Linked DNA regions of Stegostoma tigrinum. The protein of the gene in region 1 interacts with the protein of each later gene in a biochemical or structural test. Links are inferred from orthologs where the notes say so. Each region holds a gene or a part of one and is shown in the gene's direction. Other genes may lie near its edges.

Region 1 (3,748 bases):
AATTGGACTGATTTTATTTCCAAAGTAAGAATTTATAAAAGGCCACATTGACTACCTACAAACGTGTGAGCTATTTGAACAAAATAGAGTTACAAAGCAAATTCACCCCATAGATTTGTATGTGAGGGAAAGAGAGAGAAAGGGACAGCATGTGTCTGTATTCTATTACATTCCTGACTTACCTTCCAGATACTCAATAGGCTTTAAGAAGTTAGGGTGTAAGTTATTCACCACAGGTTTCCTAGCCTCTGAGCTGTTCCTATAGCCACATATAGCTAGTCCAGTTCACCTTCTGCTCAATGGAACCCCTACGATGTTGATATTGGGGTATTTAGTGACGTTGATGCCAATGACTCTCATTGGATGATTGTTACATTCTCTCTTTTAAATTGCTTATTGCCTTGCAGTTGTATAGTGTGAATGTTTATCAACCAATATTTTGTGTTATCCAGATCTTGCTACATTTTGATATGGACTACTTCAATATCTAAGGTACCTCTTTCAAATTAAGATCCGTTGAGAGCTTAAAAGAAACAACCTCTCACAGTCAGCAGTACCAGTGGGTACCAAATGTGGGCTTTCTTCTTCAGCTCACAGTAGATAGTGAGGCCACGAATCTTAAAAGAGCCGCTCCGATTTTTACTTAGGAGAATGCTCAGCAAAGTGGTGTTGATGAACAAGGCAGAGTGGAAGAGTTAAAAATTCAATTACTTGACAAAACAATGAGGGCATCGATGATTAATAATGATGTGTACCAATGCTGCATGGGATCATGAGGAACAAGCGTGGAAGAGGGTGAAGAACAGATTGTGAAATACTGATACACTCTCCATCTTGACAGAGGTGCACAGCAGAGAAATTTTCAGACTACTGACACGAATTTCCTTTCTTCCTTTTCAGGAGATGGAGAATCATAACAGCAATACAGAGCCTACCAGTAACTTAACAGTACTCCTCCACCAGCACCAACAATGTGGTGCCAATAAGCAAGCTCACAATGTCTTCCAAAGGAATGGTCAAAGAGCGAGGACCATTGAAGTTTACCAACACGAGGTGCATTTCACAGGAATTAGACATTCGAAAGCGCAGGTCAGGAGAAGAATGAGAACTGAAAACACCCAGAGATACTCAAGTTTATGCTCCAACTCAAGACAGAAAACCAAAGGTCAAATGACACTAAGCACAAGATGACGAAGGCGAGGTCAACGCTCGTTTCCGGTCCAGGAGCATCACGCTGAGCCTGGCTGACGCTATTCCGGTACGTGCCTCGGACACGGAACGCCCAGTGCGTGCGCAGGCGCAGTATGCGGGAGCGGCCTGTCGCAGTGCGCACGCGCAGTGGTCCCGGGCCTAGGCGACAGCCACACGCTGGCGACGGACAGGCCCAGCCCCAGACTGAAAGTCAGAGCAAGGCCAACGTCGCGCTGACATGGAGGCTATCGCCAAGTACGACTTCAAGGCCACAGCAGACGATGAGCTAAGCTTTAAGAGGGAAGATATACTGAAGGTGAGGCCGCCGCGATGAGATCGCGGCTAAAGCCGGATTCAGGAGCGGAGGAGGAAGCGTCACGGAGCGAGACTATGGAAGAGGAGAGGGAGGGGGAGAGGGAGGAGAGGGAGGGGGAGAGGGAGGAGAGGGAGGGGGAGAGGGAGGAGAGGGAGAGAGGAGAGGGAGAGAGTGAGAGAGCGAGTCGTTGGGGGGGGGGGGGAGTGGGGGGCGAAGGTGAAGAGAGCTGGTTGAAAGAGAAAGATGCATGACGGGGTAAAAGAAGACAACACGGGGAGGTAGAAAAGAGAGTGTGACCGGGGCAGGGAGGAGAGGGGGATCGAGGGAGGGAGGGAGGGAGAGAGAGAAGGAGAGGGGGATCGAGGGAGGGAGGGAGAGAGAGAAGGAGAGAGGGGATCGAGGGAGAGAGAGGAGGAGAGGGGGGATCGGGGGAGGGAGGGAGAGAGAGGAGGAGAGGGGGGATCGGGGGAGGGAGGGAGGGAGAGAGAGAAGGAGAGAGGGGATCGAGGGAGAGAGAGAGAGGAGGAGAGGGGGGATCGGGGGAGGGAGGGAGAGAGAGAGAGGAGGAGAGGGGGGATCGGGGGAGGGAGGGAGAGAGAGAGAGGAGGAGAGGGGGGATCGGGGGAGGGAGGGAGAGAGAGGAGGAGAGGGGGGATCGGGGGAGGGAGGGAGAGAGAGAGAGGAGGAGAGGGGGGATCGGGGGAGGGAGGGAGAGAGAGAGAGGAGGAGAGGGGGGATCGGGGGAGGGAGGGAGAGAGAGAGAGGAGGAGAGGGGGGATCGGGGGAGGGAGGGAGAGAGAGAGAGGAGGAGAGGGGGGATCGGGGGAGGGAGGGAGAGAGAGAGAGGAGGAGAGGGGGGATCGGGGGAGGGAGGGAGAGAGAGAGAGGAGGAGAGGGGGGATCGGGGGAGGGAGGGAGAGAGAGAGAGGAGGAGAGGGGGGATCGGGGGAGGGAGGGAGAGAGAGAGAGGAGGAGAGGGGGGATCGGGGGAGGGAGGGAGAGAGAGGAGGAGAGGGGGGATCGGGGGAGGGAGGGAGAGAGAGAGAGGAGGAGAGGGGGGATCGGGGGAGGGAGGGAGAGAGAGAGAGGAGGAGAGGGGGGATCGGGGGAGGGAGGGAGAGAGAGAGAGGAGGAGAGGGGGGATCGGGGGAGGGAGGGAGAGAGAGAGAGGAGGAGAGGGGGGATCGGGGGAGGGAGGGAGAGAGAGAGAGGAGGAGAGGGGGGATCGGGGGAGGGAGGGAGAGAGAGAGAGGAGGAGAGGGGGGATCGGGGGAGGGAGAGAGAGAGAGGAGGAGAGGGGGGATCGGGGGAGGGAGGGAGAGAGAGGAGGAGAGGGGGGATCGGGGGAGGGAGGGAGAGAGAGAAGGAGAGAGGGGATCGAGGGAGAGAGAGAAGGAGAGGGGGGATCGAGGGAGGGAGAGAGAGAAGGAGAAGGGGGATCGGGGGAGGGAGGGAGAAGGGGGATCGGGGGAGGGATTGAGAGAGAGAAGGAGAGGGGGGATCGGGGGAGGGAGAGAGAGAAGGAGAGGGGGGGATCGCGGGAGGGAGGGAGAGAGAGAAGGAGAGGGGGATCAAGGGAGGGAGAGAGAGGAGGAGAGGGGGGATCGGGGGAGGGAGGGAGAGAGAGGAGGAGAGGGGGGATCGGGGGAGGGAGAGAGAGAAGGAGAGGGGGGATCGGGGGAGGGAGGCAGAGAGAGGAGGAGAGGGGGGATCGGGGGAGGGAGGGAGAGAGAGAGAGAAGGAGAGGGGGGATCGGGGGAGGGAGGGAGAGAGAGAAGGAGAGGGGGGATCGGGGGAGGGAGGGAGAGAGAGAGAGAAGGAGAGGGGGGATCGGGGGAGGGAGGGAGAGAGAGAAGGAGAGGGGGGATCGGGGGAGGGAGGGAGAGAGAGAGAGAAGGTGAGGGGGGATCGGGGGAGGGAGGGAGAGAGAGAAGGAGAGGGGGGATCGGGGGAGGGAGGGAGAGAGAGAAGGAGAGGGGGGATCGGGGGAGGGAGGCAGAGAGAGGAGGAGAGGGGGGATCGGGGGAGGGAGGGAGAGAGAGAGAGAAGGAGAGGGGGGATCGGGGGAGGGAGGGAGAGAGAGAGAGAAGGAGAGGGGGGATCGGGGGAGGGAGGGAGAGAGAGAGAGAAGGAGATGGGGGATCGGGGGAGGGAGGGAGAGAGAGAGAAGGAGAAGGGGAATCGGGGGAGGGAGAGAGAGAGAGAAGGAGAAGGGGGATCGGGGGAGGGAGAGAGAAGGAG
Region 2 (3,748 bases), on another chromosome or scaffold:
CTATTTTGCCACCAACAAACCTTGCAAACTCAAACACACCAACCTGAAAGTGGTGAGGGGGAATTCCTGTTCCAGGTTGCTGTGCAACAGGGAAACTCCTATGACATTACACAAAAGGAGGTATATTGGGCTTTGCAGATGGTTATGAAAATCAGTTCTGCCTCAATTGTTTTGCCATCATCTCATCCCTAAATGTCATTTGCTGCATCAGGCAGCTTGCCATTCTGCAAGAGTGCTAACCCAGTAACTGCTTCTTAGGAGCACAACAGCTGACGTTTCAGGATAACAAAGTGTGAAGCTGGATGAACACAGCAGGCCAAGCAACATCTCAGGAGCACAAAAGCTGATGTTTCAGGTCTAGCCCTTCATCAGCGAGCTCTCTGATGAAGGGTCTAGGCCCGAAACGTCAGCTTTTGTGCTCCTGAGATGCTGCTTGGCCTGCTGTGTTCATCCAGCTTCACACTTTATTATCTCGGATTCTCCAGCATCTGCAGTTCCCATTATCAGCTGACGTTTCAGGCCTAGACCATTCATCTAGGCCCGAAACGTCAGCTTTTGTGCTCCTAAGATGCTGCTTGGCCTGCTGTGTTCATCCAGCTCCACACTTTGTGATCTCGGATTCTCCAGCATCTGCAGTCCCTATTATCTCTAACCCAGTAACTGCAACCAGTTGCATGGTCAGCACTTCCATCTATTATCACACAGAGTAACAATTGTAGAATGGTACATCTGCTAAATCCCACCCAACTACATGGTTTCACCATGTGCAGGTGATCTCTTTAGAAGATTCTTATACTCGCTCAATGTTAACTCCCTGAAAATGGCTTTCTGTTTTCTCCAGGTCATCTGAAGTATATTGAATGTTCGTAAACTGCTAGATTAATACATTATGCAGCACAGTTCTGGACCTAGGCATTGCTAACAGAGGTTCTATCATGTCTGCAATAGTAATGGAGAACATGTGCTATGATGTTCTTTCCAAGAGGTATCAAGCTGAATGTAGCCTCATTAAGGTCAGGCTATATACCACAGACCTGATGATCAGATTGTATTCTGGGAATCTGATTTAGGAGTCAGGTTAGAATCATAGAAGCCCGACAGCACACATGGAGGCCATTCGGCCCACTGAATCTGCACCCTCCCTCCAGCAGCTTCCCACCCAAACCTACCCACCCGTGTAACCTCAAATTTACCTTGGACAATCCACCTAAACTGCACATGATGAACATGCTACAGTCAACCATGGCTGGAATGAAACCGACACTGACAGGCACTGAGACGGCAGTGCTAACCACCGAGCCATCATGTAAGCCATTGAATCTAATTGTGAAACATTAGGCTGGATACATCATATCTAATCGTATACAGGAAGATATTGTGAGGTAATCCTGTACATGGTGGTTCTGATCCGATGAAATCTGGCGGCAGACCTCTGATCTGGTGATACAGTTTGGTTCACCCGACATACGGATGCTCAGCACAATAAGAGTCGGTGTGTGATCTGTGAGAAGTGTGTGTGTGATCTGGGGAGGACGTGGTGCAGAGCCGTACACCTTGTTATAAGTCAAACTCGTGGGGGCGGAGTTGAAACCGCCCAGAGTTTATCAGCGGCTGCGTCAGGAGTTAGAAACAGGTTACTCACCCTGAAACTGTCCGTCTGACATTCCCACTTTGCTTTCACAAAGGACCTTTCGATTTTGTTTTGTCATCCGCGCTAGCGAGCGGATAGGGGGCCTGGGTCACCTGTGCAGCAAGGGCCGGCTCCGAGCTGCTCGCCAGGACTGGAGCGCTGAGAATTCATCAAAATCAGAGCGAGTGGTCACCTCGGACCAGAGCAGAGCGGGCAGGCTGCAGCATTTAACGCTTTTTGAAAGAGCAGGATTTATTGAGTGAAATGTGTTGAAGAGGAGGGGAATGTGACGCCTGCAGTGGAATGATTTCGTGAAGCACTTGCCTGGGCTCTGAGAAGGACAGTTGCAAGTTGATCCTGAATTTACTTTGGTGCACAGTCAGGTATGTCCGGCTTTTATTCAATATCCATTTTGCGCCTTCTTGCTTAGTATCGATCAATTTGTAATTTATAACTGAATACTTGCCAGCGTGTGTTTGTTTGATTTTTAGATACACGGATACAAGTGAGATTCCCTTCTTTTGTTCTTTTCTTACTCTCTAAATTTTAAATGTCCTGCAGATATTATCTTATTTTGCATCAACTGTTCCAACTGAAGAATCGGTTGCGGTGGAATGAGATCATGTGCACACCATGATCCAGAATGATTCATCTTCCTGTGTGTATTATGTGGGGAATAAGGAAAGTGTTAAAAAAAAACTTTTATACCGTGGAGATTTGAGGCAGGTCAAAAGGATCCCCAGATTAACTTTATTTCCCTATTTATACAGGATAATCCCCCAGAAGAAAAATCATTGTACTTGATGTGTTTGGGATTAATGGTTTTAATTAATCTTTAAATACTATGTTAGTTCCGAGAAGTATTAGCAGCCGTGCGTGGGGGCGTGGTGGGGGGGTAACTGACATTCCCAGCGCATCTCACACGGAGCACTCAAACAATTATCAGGATCACAGTAATGCGGAGCACTCGGGGATTAATTTATCGGTTTCACTGCGCGCAAAAGCATTTAAGCAGTAAAGCATACCTTTATGTGTAGGGCTGATCTGATCGAATTACAGCATTAGCCTCGAAACCTTGGCTCTTGACAACTGTGCTGGCATTTCTGAACTGAGGTGAGCGAAGTGAGTCACTGAACCAACGAAATGGGCATTCCAGGTCAAGTAAAGCAAACCTCTCTTGAACAAAAACAAAGTTGCTGGAAAAGGCTCAGCAAGTCTGGCAGCATCTGTGGAGGAGAACACAGAGTGAGCGTTTCGGGTCCGGTGACCCTCAGAACGGAAGCAAACCTCTCTACTTGTGTGAATTTTGCAGTGGTTTAGATGAACATTCTTTTAGGCAGTGGTTTTAAACCACTGATTAACCAAAAACAAATCAGTATTCAATGGGAAGGTAACAACAGATTCTCTGTAATCTGTCTGACTCAATGGTGTGATGCATTTAAGAGTAGTGTGGTCCTTTTGCTCACTGGCAGCACAGATCTGGTTGTTCATTATTGTTAGCAAGACTACTTAGTAGTGATAACCATATGCATGACGAGATTCAGCAAAGACCTGGAGATTAGCCAGCCAAACACACCAGAATGTGCTGATTTGATGCCTTGACTTTTCTGAAGTAGTTGTTCTCACCCAGATGGTATTTAGCCATCGATACAAGCTAACAAAATGTGAGGCTGGATGAACACAGCAGGCCAAGCAGCATCTCAGGAGCACAAAAGCTGACGTTTCGGGCCTAGACCCTTCATCAGAGAGGGGGATGGGGAGAGGGAACTGGAATAAATAGGGAGAGAGGGGGAGGCGGACCAAAGATGGAGAGTAAAGAAGATAGGTGGAGAGAGTATAGGTGGGGAGGTAGGGAGGGGATAGGTCAGTCCAGGGAAGACGGACAGGTCAAGGAGGTGGGATGAGGTTAGTAGGTAGATGGGGGTGCAGCTTGGGCTGGGAGGAAGGGATGGGTGAGAGGAAGAACCGGTTAGGGAGACAGAGACAGGTTGGACTGGTTTTGGGATGCAGTGGGTGGGGGCGAAGAGCTGGGCTGGTTATGTGGTGCAGTGGGGGGAGGGGACGAACTAGGCTGGTTTAGGGATGCAGTAGGGGAAGGGGAGATTTTGAAACTGGTGA
Region 3 (3,748 bases), on another chromosome or scaffold:
ACAGGATTGCTTCAGGAGTTGGTCAGATTTGGCATATGTACAAATTCCAGATTAAAAGGGGAGTTAGACTGACCTCCATCCAGTCACCGATGATGTTTAATGCTGTGGAACAGAAGAGACTGAGGAAAGGGCAGGAAGAGTGATGAGAGATATTGCCATACCAGTGGATGGTTCAGCTATCACCATCACCCCCTCAGTTTGCCTCACCATCATTCCATCAGTACTGACCCTCTGACAGTGCAGCACTCCCTCAGTACTGACCCTCTGACAGTGCAGCACTCCCTCAGTACTGACCCTCTGACAGTGCGGCACTCCCTCAGTACTGACCCTCTGACAGTGCAGCACTCCCTCAGTACTGACCCTCTGGCAGTGCGGCACTCCCTCAGTACTGACAATGCAGCACTCCATCCATATTGACTGTCTGACAGTGTGTGGCACTCATGTCGGTGTAAAAGAATCTCTGCCTTTGTTTGCTGAGGATGAGAAAGTTTCTCCCTTTGATCACTCATTGACCCCCCCCCCCACCTCTCCACCCGGTTGAAATATTCAGCCCTTGGTCACATTGTCAGAATCCCTGATCACTTCTGAAGTTCTAAAGAATGTGTTGCCGGCATGATTTTTCCTCTGATCGGTTCAAAGCATTTCTCTCTATGTTAACGGGTGGCAGCAATTGGCCTGCATATAAGTTGGCGCGATATGGTTTGGGTTTTTCTCGTTTCTGCTCACAGGATTTGCAAAGGCAGATAGAAAGGAAGTGGTTTCACATTCTACCTTCATCCGAGTCTGAAGCCTGCGTGGTGCTTTTTCCTGACAGTTTCTCAGTTATCAGCATCTGTGCACCTACGCTGTGCCTAATGCTGTGACCTGCACACAACCTTCCGATCAGCTTCACCTCCCCACCACCACCTCCTCTCGATGGGGAGTGTTACCCGCCGAAAGGATGAATCCCCCTTCCATCCTTGAGGAATTTCTCATCAAGCGCTCACAGCAAAAACGAAGGACTTCACCCTCCAACTACAAAGATCGATATTTCATTCTGACCAAATCCAGGCTGGCTTACTACGAGTGCCGTACAGGGGTATGTGTCTCTACTTGTTCGCTTAATCCATCTCGCCAACAGCCTCACATCAATCTCACCCCTTCCATTGGCTGTGGCCAGATGTCAGCGTCTGCCCAGCACAGTTCTCCTTCCAAAAGGCTGCCTTCCTTCACAGTGTCCTGCCTATTGCTAAGGATTTTTCTGGCCTTGCTTTCTCCTGTGTAGCTTCTGTCACCTCTCTGTGCCAGTGGCCCTGTTGAGCGTCTGAGGCTCAGTGCCATCTTTGTCAGAACACAATTAGTTTCTCTCCATTTCACAGTGGTGATCAGCGAGTGAGTGTGAATGAGCGTGAGACTGAGTGAACTTTCTGGTTTGAAGTTCAGTCTTGTTCTTGGTTGCCAGAGTGTCAATGCTTGTACAGCGAGTCGGTGTGTTAAGCTTTAGTGCGTGTTCACAGTGGGCTGTGGTTCATTATTTTTAACTGTTACTCTACTCTCAACCGTCCTGTTTGTCTGCCCAGCCAGCTCCAGGAATGTGTTCACCTCATAATGACATGTTGTTCTGGGTTAGGTTTTATATCATTTCATTTTTTCCTTCATGGGATGACTGTATTGCTGGCTAGGCCAACGTTTATTGCCCATCTCGAATTGTCCAGAGGTCAGAGATAATGGGAACTGCAGATGCTAGAGAATCCGGGATAACAAAGTGTGGAGCTGGATGAGCACAGCAGGACAAGTGCATTAAGAGTCGATCCCTTTGCTGTGGGTGTGGAGTTATATGTAGTCCAGGCCAGGTAACGGTGGCAGTTTCCTTCCCTAAAGGTCATTGGTCAACCAGATGGATTTTTTCTGACAATCAGCAATGGATTGATGGTCATCATTAGTCACTTCATTCCACTTTCTTTTAAATTAAATTCAAATTTCGCCATCTGCGATGGTGGGATTCAAACTCAGGTCCCCAGAGTATTCCCTGGTCTCTGGATTAACAGTGTAGTGATGATATGCCAAGGCCACGTCCTTCCTGATATAGTCCAACACCAAAAACTTCAGCTCACCCAAAATTGTGAATCATAACCAGCACCAAGTCCAGTCCTTCTGACACCCACAGGGGCTCCTGATTCAATGAAACTTCAGTTTTAAAGGCCTCATCCGCATTTTCAAATTCCTCTGTGTCACCTTGCCCCCTCCCTTTTGTTGTAATCTCCTCAAACGGCTCACACATGTAAGAGCTCTTCCAACTCGGGCCTTTAATACATTCTCAATTTACACCAAGCCAACATCAATGGTATTGTGAAAACTCAAAGCCTTAAGCTCTGAAGTTCACTCCCTCACACCATCTCCCTCTCTACCCTTTCAGATGTTGCTTAAAACCTCCATATATGACCAATATTTCTACATCACACCTTACGAGATGTGGGTATCCACTGGCAAGGCCAACGTTTATTGTATATCCTTGAGTGCCCTTGAAAAAGTGGTGGTGAGCTGCCTTGTTGAACTGCCACAGTTAACCTCATGTTGGGGCACTCACAATGCTCTTAATGGAGGCAGTTCCAGGATTTTAACCCAGCAACAGTGAAGGAACATTGATTACGTTGCAGATCGGGATGGTGAGTGACTTGGAGGTGAATTTATAGGAGCTGGTGTTCCCCTGTACCTGCCGCCCTTGTCTGTCTAGTTGGCAGAAGTTGCAGATTTTTTCCCTGTGTTGGAGAAAGAGCTTTTGCAAATTGCTACAGTACATCTAGTGCATGTTATAAATAGTACACTTTGCTGTGACTACATGTTGGTGGTATAGGGTGTGGATAGTGAAGATGCAGGGTGTGATGCCAATCAAGCAGGTTGCTTTGTCCTGGATGGTGTCAAGATTCTTGAATGTTATTAGAGCAGCACCCATTCCGGCAAATGGAGAGCATTCCATACACTCCTGACCTGTCCCTCGTCGATAGTGGACAGGCTTTGGGAAGTTGAGAGGTGAGCTACTCATTACAAAATTCCCAACTTCTGTCTCATCCCCATAGTCATAGTATTTACATGGCTGGTCTAGTTCAGTTTCTTGTCAATGGTGTCCCTCAGAATATTGACAGTGGGTGACTCAGTGATTGAAATATTATTGAACATTAAGAGGCAATGGTTGGATTATTGCTTGTTGGACATGGCTGTCGTCTGACATTTATGTGGTGCAAACATTACATGCCACTTGTCACCGCAAGCCTGGATATTGTCCAGATCTTGTTGCCTTTGGACATGAACTGTTTCAGTATCCTAGGAGATGCAAGTGACACTGAACATTACACAATCATCAGCAGACAGCCCCGCTTCCACTTTAAGATGGAGGGATGAAAGACGGTTGTGCTTAGGGCACTCGAGGTTCTTGAATTCACTGTCCAACAAAGTAGACTTGTGTTTTCAGAGACTGTGAATATTGCATCAGGTTGTATCCATTGTGGGTGTGCAAGGATGTGACCAGGGCCAAAATTCTGGAGCAAGATTTGAGAGGTTCTATGCACATAGGCGTTGTGTAGTGTGTGTGTTTGTCAGCCTGTGTGTGTTTGAATGACTTTGAGTGTTGCCTGCATGCGTGATTTTGTGTATGTTTTGTCTGTGTGCATGTTTGTGAGAAGCATGTTATTTAATGTCTATGCATTAATGTCAGCCTGTGAGTGAACGTGGTTGTGTGCACGTGGATGTATATGTGAGTGTGTGTGTGTGA

What was found.
Region 2: the proteins of growth factor receptor-bound protein 2 (region 1) and met form a complex in vitro, tested with the Homo sapiens proteins (3 studies listed by BioGRID and IntAct, with this or other methods). The link is inferred for Stegostoma tigrinum from reciprocal best matches to the Homo sapiens genes GRB2 and MET.
Region 3: the proteins of growth factor receptor-bound protein 2 (region 1) and tyrosine-protein kinase ITK/TSK-like form a complex in vitro, tested with the Homo sapiens proteins (2 studies listed by BioGRID). The link is inferred for Stegostoma tigrinum from reciprocal best matches to the Homo sapiens genes GRB2 and ITK.

What each region holds. Positions count from the first base shown.
Region 1 is NC_081375.1:55,043,110-55,046,857, forward strand, and holds the start of growth factor receptor-bound protein 2, read left to right. Parts: upstream 1-1,303; 5' UTR 1,304-1,429; coding exon 1,430-1,507; intron 1,508-3,748. UniProt on the Homo sapiens protein: Non-enzymatic adapter protein that plays a pivotal role in precisely regulated signaling cascades from cell surface receptors to cellular responses, including signaling transduction and gene expression.
Region 2 is NC_081371.1:34,235,840-34,239,587, forward strand, and holds the start of met (hepatocyte growth factor receptor), read left to right. Parts: upstream 1-1,604; 5' UTR 1,605-2,013; intron 2,014-3,748. UniProt on the Homo sapiens protein: Receptor tyrosine kinase that transduces signals from the extracellular matrix into the cytoplasm by binding to hepatocyte growth factor/HGF ligand. Regulates many physiological processes including proliferation, scattering, morphogenesis and survival.
Region 3 is NC_081366.1:12,417,795-12,421,542, forward strand, and holds the start of tyrosine-protein kinase ITK/TSK-like, read left to right. Parts: upstream 1-862; 5' UTR 863-940; coding exon 941-1,078; intron 1,079-3,748. UniProt on the Homo sapiens protein: Tyrosine kinase that plays an essential role in regulation of the adaptive immune response. Regulates the development, function and differentiation of conventional T-cells and nonconventional NKT-cells.